Linked DNA regions of Oryctolagus cuniculus. The protein of the gene in region 1 purifies or fractionates together with the protein of each later gene. This does not show direct contact. Links are inferred from orthologs where the notes say so. Each region holds a gene or a part of one and is shown on either strand. Other genes may lie near its edges.

Region 1 (4,599 bases):
GACACCCACAGTCCATACTGGAGTGCTAGTTTTAATTCCAGCTGCCTCTTCTGCACTTCTGATTCAGCTTCATGCTAATGTATCCTAAGAGGCAATAGATGATGGCTCAAATGCTTTGGTCTCTGCCACTCACATGGAAGAGCCAGATGTAGTTCTGAGTTCCTAGCCCAGTCCCAGCTGTTGTAGCCATTTAGGGAATGAACCATTGGGTAGAAGATACTTCTCTCTCTCTACCTCTCAAGTAGATGAAAATAAACATTTTTAAAAATGGTTGAAGTAGTCAATTTCACTACAACAAAAAAAATTTTTTTTGACAGGCAGAGTGGACAGTAAGGGACAGAGAAAGGTCTTCCTTTTCCATTGGTTCACCCCACAATGGCTGCTGCGGCTGGTGCGCTGCAGCTGGTGCACCGTGCTGATCCGAAGCCAGGAGCCAGGTGCTTCTCCTGGTCTCCCATGCGGGTGCAGGGCCCAAGGACCTGGGCCATCCTCCACTGCACTCCCGGGCCACAGCAGAGAGCTGGCCTGGAAGAGGAGTAACCAGGACAGAATCCGGTGCCCCAACCGGGACTAGAACCCGGTGTGCTGGCACCGCAGGTGGAGGATTAGCCTATTGAGCCGTGGCACTGGCCAAAAAAATTTTTTTAAAGATTTATTTATTTATTTGAAAGTCAGAATTACAAAGAGAGAGGAGAAGCAGAGAGAGAAGTCTTCTATCCAATGGTTCACTTCTATCCAATGGTTGGCTGCAACGGCTGGAGCTGTGCCGATCCAAAGCCAGAAGCCAGGAACTTCTTTCGGGTCTCCCATGCAGGTGCATGGGCCCAACGACTTGGGCCATCTTCCACTGCTTTCCCAGGCCACAGCAGAGAGCTGGATTGGAAGTGGAGCAGCCGGGTCTCAAACTGGCGCCATATGGGATGCCGGCACTTTAGGCCAGGGTGTTAACCTGCTGTGCCACAGCGCCGGCCCTTAAAAAAAATTTTAACTGCAGTGCACCTCTTTCAATTAAATCTGATTCAGAGTGGGCCTTTGTCACTTGTGAAGATGCCAGATGGGATGCCTAGGTTCAAATCCAGGTACTACCTCTGATCCATCTTTCCTTAATAATGTGCACCCTGGGAAGCAGTAGGCAATGGTCAAGTATTTGGGTCCCTGCCATTCACATGTGACACTAACAGTGAATTCCCAGCCGTGGCCTTGCCCAGCCCTGGTTGTTGTGGTTATTTGGGGTGTGAACCAGCAGACTGGAGATTTGTCTCTCTGCCTTTCAGATAAATAAAAATATATTTTTTAAATTAAAAAAAATTTGTCATAGAATCCCAATGTGGGGGTGGGCACTATGATGCAGTGGTTTAAGCCACTACTTTGGGACACTCTCACCCCATATCAGAGGGCATGGGATCAGTACTACCTCTGCTTCTGATCCAGCTTCCTGCTCATGTGCATAATGGGAGGCAGGAGCAGATGATGGCTCAAGTTGTTGGGTCCCTGCCACCCATGAAGGAGACCAGATGCGACACCTGGCTTCTGGATTTAGCCTGGCCCAGCCCTGGCTATTGTGCGAATTTGGGGAGTGAACCACTAGATGGAAGATCTCTGTCTCCACTGTCTTTCAAATAAATAAAAACAGAGACATTTACAAATTATAAAACGAAAGAATCTCAATGTGTAAAACCAGATAAAAGTGATGCTGACAGTGTTGAAGCATGGGGAGAAGGGCCTGAAGCCTCACCAACTTGGTTCTCCCTTGATCAGTATTTCCAGTCCTCTCAACCTGTAATCTGAAACAGTGAATAAAAGTATTGCAAAACGGATGAAAAGTAAGTTTTTTAGATACACTGAAAGGGAAAACTAATACTGCCTTTTTCTGGAGGTGTAAGGGTGACTGTGACAACAGAGTTTGAAAAGTAATCTCTGGCTGGTGCCACGGCTCACTAGGCTAATCCTCCACCTTGCGGCGCCGGCACACCAGGTTCTAGTCTCAGTTGGGGCGCCGGATTCTGTCCCGGTTGCCCCTCTTCCAGGCCAGCTCTCTGCTGTGGCCAGGGAGTGCAATGGAGGATGGCCCAAGTGCTTGGGCCCTGCACCCCATGGGAGACCAGGAGAAGCACCTGGCTCCTGGCTCCTGCCATCGGATCAGCGCGGTGCGCCGGCCACAGCGCGCCGGCCGCGGCGGCCATTGGAGGGTGAACCAACGGCAAAGGAAGACCTTTCTCTCTGTCTTTCTCTGTCACTGTCCACTCTGTCAAAAAAAAAAAAAAAAAAAAAAAAAGTAATCTCTGAAAGATAACATTTGGCCTGGTTCTTCAAGCAGGCGTTGACTTTGGGAATGGAAATGGATCAAGAAAGCACATAGTGAAGGAGTGAAGGAGGAAAAGTAGTCTACAAGGGCATCAGGTTGAAAGAAAAGTAAAACTTGAAGTTAAAGAGAACAGGCTGAATCCATCTCTGAGGAAATCAAGAGGATTTGTTGTTTAAATAGGGGGGGGGGGATAAGTGGATTAAGCTCCTGTTTGGAATGCCCACATTCCAAATCAGAGTGCCAGTTTATGTCCTAGGTACTCTGTTTCTGATTCAGCTTCCTGCTAATGTATTCTGGGAAGCAACAGACAATGGCTTATGTGCTTGGTTCCCTGTTATCTATGTGGGAGACCCATATGGACCTTCAGTCCAGCCCAGCTCTGGCTGTTGTGGGCATTTGGGGAGTGAACCAGCAGATGGAACTTCTCTCTCTGCATTTCAAAAAAGAGGCCCAGCTTAAGGAAGAAATAAATAAATGCCAAGGGATTCAAGTGACCATCCTTTAGGTCCTGATTATCCTTGTGCCTGGAGACTAACAGGCGGAGCACAGATTCCTGAACATAACATTGTGAACGCCTCTACCCTGTTACCTGACGCATGATTTTTCATGAATAACATTGTGAACGCCTCTACCCTGGTACCTGACACGTGGTTTTTCATGAGTCTGAACCTGGAGTCTCCCAGAGGCTTTCCCAACCTTCGAGCAGAGTTGACAGCAAAGTTGGAATGAAAACCAGGCTGTGATTTAGTCACCATGGTGACAAGAAACTATCACAAATACTTGCTTATGACCTCACTGGAAAAGCAGGCAAGGGAGGGAGTGTGAAAGGAACATCTGCAGAAAAGCACATGTGGAATCGACCAAAAGAAGACTGGGTTATCTTTCATGGATCCAGCAGTACAGGGACTTTTTCCATGGTACAATCCCTTACTTGCTGGGGTTGGATCTAGAAAATCCACATCAAAAATCTTTTCTGTCTTAGATAGCTTTGGGTTTTCTTAGTCAAGGAACTCAATCAAAGGTCACTGAAGTTATACCTCTTATTTCTAGGGAATATATGGAATACATATCTAATGCTGCCAAGCATTTTCTAAGCTTTTAGAACCATGGGAGTAGCAACAAGAAGACAAAATAGGTATGGACCCTGAAATGGCTGAGCTACTGTAGTCTTGCTAAATTCATACGATGAAGCCCTAACCCCCAGTACCTCAGAAGGTAATTATTCTTTTCATTAAAGCCCTTAAAGAGGCAAATAAGGTTACAGAGGTCATTGCTAATCCAGTACCTACTATCTTTATGAAGGAAAACACCAAGTAAATATGCAGACAGCTACCCAGAGGCTAAGGAGAGAGGTCTTAGAAGAAACCAACCCTGCTGACACCTTAACCTTAGACTTCCAGCCCCAGAACTGTGAGAAAATAAAGCACCCAGTCTGTGGTGTTTTGTTATGGTAGCCCTAGCAAACTAAACAAAACAAAACAAAACAGAGAACAGGTAACACATGAGTCCCAAATTGCTATAGTGCTCCATTTAATTACCGGTATGTCTTAAAAATGTGAAATTCTTAAGATTTTTTTTTTTTTTTTTTTTGACAGGCAGAGTGGACAGTGAGAGAGAGAGACAGAGAGAAAGGTCTTCCTTTGCCGTTGGTTCACCCTCCAATGGCTGCCGCGGCCAGCACGCTGCGGCCGGCGCACCGCGCTGATCCGATGGCAGGAGCCAGGAGCCAGGAGCCAGGTGCTTTTCCTGGTCTTCCATGGGGTGCAGGGCCCAAGGACTTGGGCCATCCTCCACTGCACTCCCTGGCCACAGCAGAGAGCTGGCCTGGAAGAGGGGCAACCGGGACAGAATCCGGCGCCCTGACCGGGACTAGAACCCGGTGTGCCGGCGCTGCTAGGCGGAGGATTAGCCTAGTGAGCCGCGGCGCCGGCCAATTCTTAAGATTTTTAACATGCATTTTCTCAGAAAAACATTTCACAAATAACCCAGCTACTGTGAGTATCGGTTAAGAATGATGTCATTACACCTTCAAGCTCACAAATATGAGTATACTTCCAAAAACTAATGAGAAAATGGAGGGCTGGTGTTGTGGTACAGCAGGTTAATCTGCTGTCTGCAATGCTGGCATCCCATATGGGTTCTTACTGCCCCACTTTCAATCCAGCTTCCTGTTAATGTACCTGAGAAAGCAAAAGAGGATGGCCCAAGTACTTACGCTCCTGCCTCCCTTGAGACATAGATAAGTTCCTGGCTCCAGCCTGGCCCAGTCCTAGCTGTTGCAGCCATTTAGGGAA
Region 2 (3,811 bases), on another chromosome or scaffold:
AAGTGGCCAAATTGGGTTTAGTCGTTTGTAATTATAGTTTTTTAGGTGTAAAATCTGGATTTATTTCCAAAGACATATTTTGAAGATTCATGATAGAAAATGAATTACCTGCAGTAAAAAAGATTTATCTTTGCTCATTTAGGGAGATCTGATTCGAGCAACTGAGAATCCTGTTTTTATATATGCCTCTAAGTCCCAGTGGCCACTGGTGTTTCTCTTTCCCTATCCCATCAGTATTAATACTCTAAAATTTAGAAGTTTGTTAATAAAGAAACTGGCAAAACAAAGAAGCAGCCTAAGGTGTATGGTAAAAATGAGACGAGTTTTGAGGCAGGTTTTGGCACAGCAGTTGGGATAACACACCCCACTTTGGAGTGCTTGAGTTCGAGGCCCAGCTCCACTTCTCATTCCAGCTTCCTTCTCATGTGCACCCTGCAAGGCAGCAGGTGATGGCTGAAGTACTTGTATCCCTGCCATCCATCTGGGAGACCTGAACTGAATTCCCAGCTTCTGGTTTAGGCCTGGCCAGTCTCTGACTTTTGTAGGCATTTGAAAAGTGAACAAGGGATGGGAGCTAGCTTGATCAGTCTCTCTCTGCTTTCAAATGAATAAATTTGAAAAATAATTGACAAAAAATCCAGGAGATTAAAGTGAATCTTTTAAGAATGAGGTTGGCGGCCCTTTTTAATGCTGCTATGAAGGATCAAATAAAATAAAATGGAATCAGTACAAAACTGTTCTCTTTAGCTCTTTTTCCCCATCTCACAGCCCTTGAAATACTTTTTTACTCATGACCTATTTGGTAGCTAATAGAGCTGTCTGTAATTTAGAATGTATATTTCTTTACAGGCGTGGTTGTTGCTATGTTACTCTTTTTTTTTTTTTTTTTTTTTTTTTTTTTTTTTTTTTTTTTTTGACAGGCAGAGTGGACAGTGAGAGAGAGAGACAGAGAGAGAAAGGTCTTCCTTTGCCGTTGGTTCACCCTCCAATGGCCGCCGCTGCAGCCGGCGCACCGCGCTGATCCTGGCAGGAGCCAGGAGCCAGGTGCTTTTCCTGGTCTCCCATGGGGTGCAGGGCCCAAGCACCTGGGCCATCCTCCACTGCACTCCCTGGCCATAGCAGAGAGCTGGCCTGGAAGAGGGGCAACCGGGACAGAATCCGGCGCCCCAACCGGGACTAGAACCCGGTGTGCCGGCGCCGCAAGGTGGAGGATTAGCCTATTGAGCCACGGCGCCGGCCGCTATGTTACTCTTAATTTGTTTTGCATTACTCTCGGAATTCATGGAGGAAATGATAGCTTTTTAGTTTCAGCCCAGAAGATGTCACTGTTGTACAAAAATGAAGAATTACAAACATTTTAGAATCCTTTTCATTAAGTAATCTTTTCTGGACAGAATGGTGAAGAAGTATAATATGAAGCTAGTCTACAAAAAAACATTTCTGGAATTTTATGAAGAAAAGATTAAGAACAATGAAAATAAAATGCTGTTGAAACGAATGCAGGCTCTAGAGGTAAGTCCTTGAAAAGTTATAAAAAAATCCCAAGAACTTGTTTGGCTGTTTTTGAGATCTTTTCAGAGCCATATAGACACCATAGTGTGTGAGGCATCTTCGGAATGTTTGTGAAAAATGTGTGTTATGGAAAAATGTGCATGGTTTTCAAATAATTTTTTGTACCAAAATAAACTTGTACTAACTTGCTATAACAAGTCTGAACAGGATCTGGTTTGAGAAGGATAAGGCATGAGTTTGGAAAGAGCCCCTATCAGGGCAAAACGAGTTCTACAATTGAAGCAAGAACAAGCATCAAGTTATTGTAGAACTTAGGTGAAAGAATAATGAAATAGTTGATGCTTTACAAAAGGCTTATGGGGACAGTGCCTCAAAGAAATCAGTAATTTATTAATGGATAATGCATTTTAAGGAAGACTGAGGGGCCAGCATGTGGCACTGCTGATTGAGGCACTTTCTACAATGCTGGCATCTCATATGGGCACTGATTTGAGACCCAGCTGCCCCACTTTTGATCCAGCTCCTTGCTAATGCATCTGGGAAAGCAGCGGAAGATGGCCCAAGTACTTGGGCCCCTGCCACCCACATGGATGGAGTTGCTGGTTCCTGGCTTTGGCTTGGCCATTGTGGCCATTTGGGGAGTGAACCAGTAGATAGAAGATTTTTCTCCGTCCAACTCTGCCTTGCAAATAAATGAAATCCATTTTTTTTTTTTTTTTAAGAAAAAGGAGGACTGAGACTTTTGAAGGTGAAGCCTGCAGCTGCTGACCACCCATATCAATTTGTGAGGAAAAACTTAATCTTGTTTATGCCATAATTAAAGAGGACCAGTGATCAGTAACAGCAGAAACAGTAGCCAACACTATAGATACCTTAGTTGCTTCAGCTTACACAATTGTGACTGAGAAAGTAGAGCAGACACTGTTCCCTGAATACAAAACTGTTGGGATACAGAGATCAGCTACAGACAAGAAAAAACTTTTAAAGGAACTTTAAACAAATAGGATGACGATCCTGAAGGATTTCTATGAAGAACTGCAATGGAGATGAAACATAATTTTAACAATATGATTTTTGTCTTGAAGACAAAGCCCAATCAAAGCAGTAGATACCAAGAGGTAGAAGAAATTCAGTGAAGAGAAACATGGACCAATTGGAGCAAAGGTCATGGTAGAAATTCTGGGAAATGCTCAAGACATTTTGCTTGTTGACTTTTTGGAGGGCCAAAGACCAGTTAACATTTGCTCATTAGGGAGAATTTTTGAGAAATTTACCTAAAACATTAGCAAAAATAACCTGGGAAAGCTCTACCAGGATCCTTCTCAACCACTGCAATGCTTCTGCTCATTCCTCTTAAAATAAGAGCACTTTTGCAAGAATTTTGCTGGGAAATCTTAGGCATCCACCTCAAAGTCCTGATTTGGCTCCTTCAAACTTCTCTTCTTTTTTTTTTTTTTTTTTTTTTTTTTTAAGATTTATTTGCAGGTAGATTTACAGAAAGAGAAGGGGAGACAGACAGAAAGAGATCTTCCATCTGTTGGTTTACTCTCCACATGACTGCAATAGCAAGGGCTGGACCAGGCTGATGCCAGGAGCCTGGAGCTTCATCTAAGTCTCCCACATGGGTACAGGGGCCCAAGTGTTAGGCCATTTTCTGCTTTCCCAGTCACATAAGGAGGGAACTGGTTTGGAAAAGGAGCAGTTAGGACTTGAACCAATGCCCATATGGGATACTGGTGTCGCAGGCAGTGGCTTAATCTGCTGTGCTACAATGCCATCCTATTTCCTGCTCTTAAGGGACCTCTAAAGGTCCCATTTTTCTTTAGTTAAAATTGTAAAACACAGCATTGACATAGTTAAGTTCCCAGACCTTTTAGTTCTTTAGGGATGGTCTAAATGACATATAACATTATTTAACAAAACTGTCGTGAACTTGGTGAAGCTTGTATTAAAAAATAAAACTTATTTTAAATCTTTATTATTTGTCTTTTAATTCTATTTTTCACAAACTTTTTTTTAATTTTTTTTATTTTTTTATTTTTTTATTTTTGACAGGCAGAGTGGACAGTGAGAGAGAGAGAGACAGAGAGAAAGGTCTTCCTTTGCCATTGGTTCACCCTCCAATGGCCGCCACGGCAGCCGGCGCACCGCGCTGATCTGATGGCAGGAGCCAGGATCCTGGTGCTTTTCCTGGTCTCCCATGGGGTGCAGGGCCCAAGCACCTGGGCCATCCTCCACTGCACTCCCTGGCCATAGCAGAGAGCTGGCCTGGAAGAGGGGCAACCGGGACAGAATCCGG

Evidence for each region.
Region 2: the proteins of KPNA6 (region 1) and RNMT purify together in Homo sapiens (co-immunoprecipitation; 3 studies listed by BioGRID and IntAct, counting the BioPlex papers as one, with this or other methods). This does not show direct contact. The link is inferred for Oryctolagus cuniculus from reciprocal best matches to the Homo sapiens genes KPNA6 and RNMT.

The regions. Positions count from the first base shown.
Region 1 is NC_091438.1:140,306,899-140,311,497, forward strand, and holds the start of KPNA6 (importin subunit alpha-7), read right to left. Parts: upstream 3,076-4,599; 5' UTR 3,061-3,075; coding exon 2,895-3,060; intron 1-2,894. UniProt on the Homo sapiens protein: Functions in nuclear protein import as an adapter protein for nuclear receptor KPNB1. Binds specifically and directly to substrates containing either a simple or bipartite NLS motif.
Region 2 is NC_091441.1:70,605,434-70,609,244, forward strand, and holds part of RNMT (mRNA cap guanine-N7 methyltransferase), read left to right. Parts: intron 1-849; coding exon of another isoform or gene 850-860; intron 861-1,239; coding exon of another isoform or gene 1,240-1,361; exon of another isoform or gene 1,362-1,394; coding exon 1,395-1,512; intron 1,513-3,811. UniProt on the Homo sapiens protein: Catalytic subunit of the mRNA-capping methyltransferase RNMT:RAMAC complex that methylates the N7 position of the added guanosine to the 5'-cap structure of mRNAs. Binds RNA containing 5'-terminal GpppC.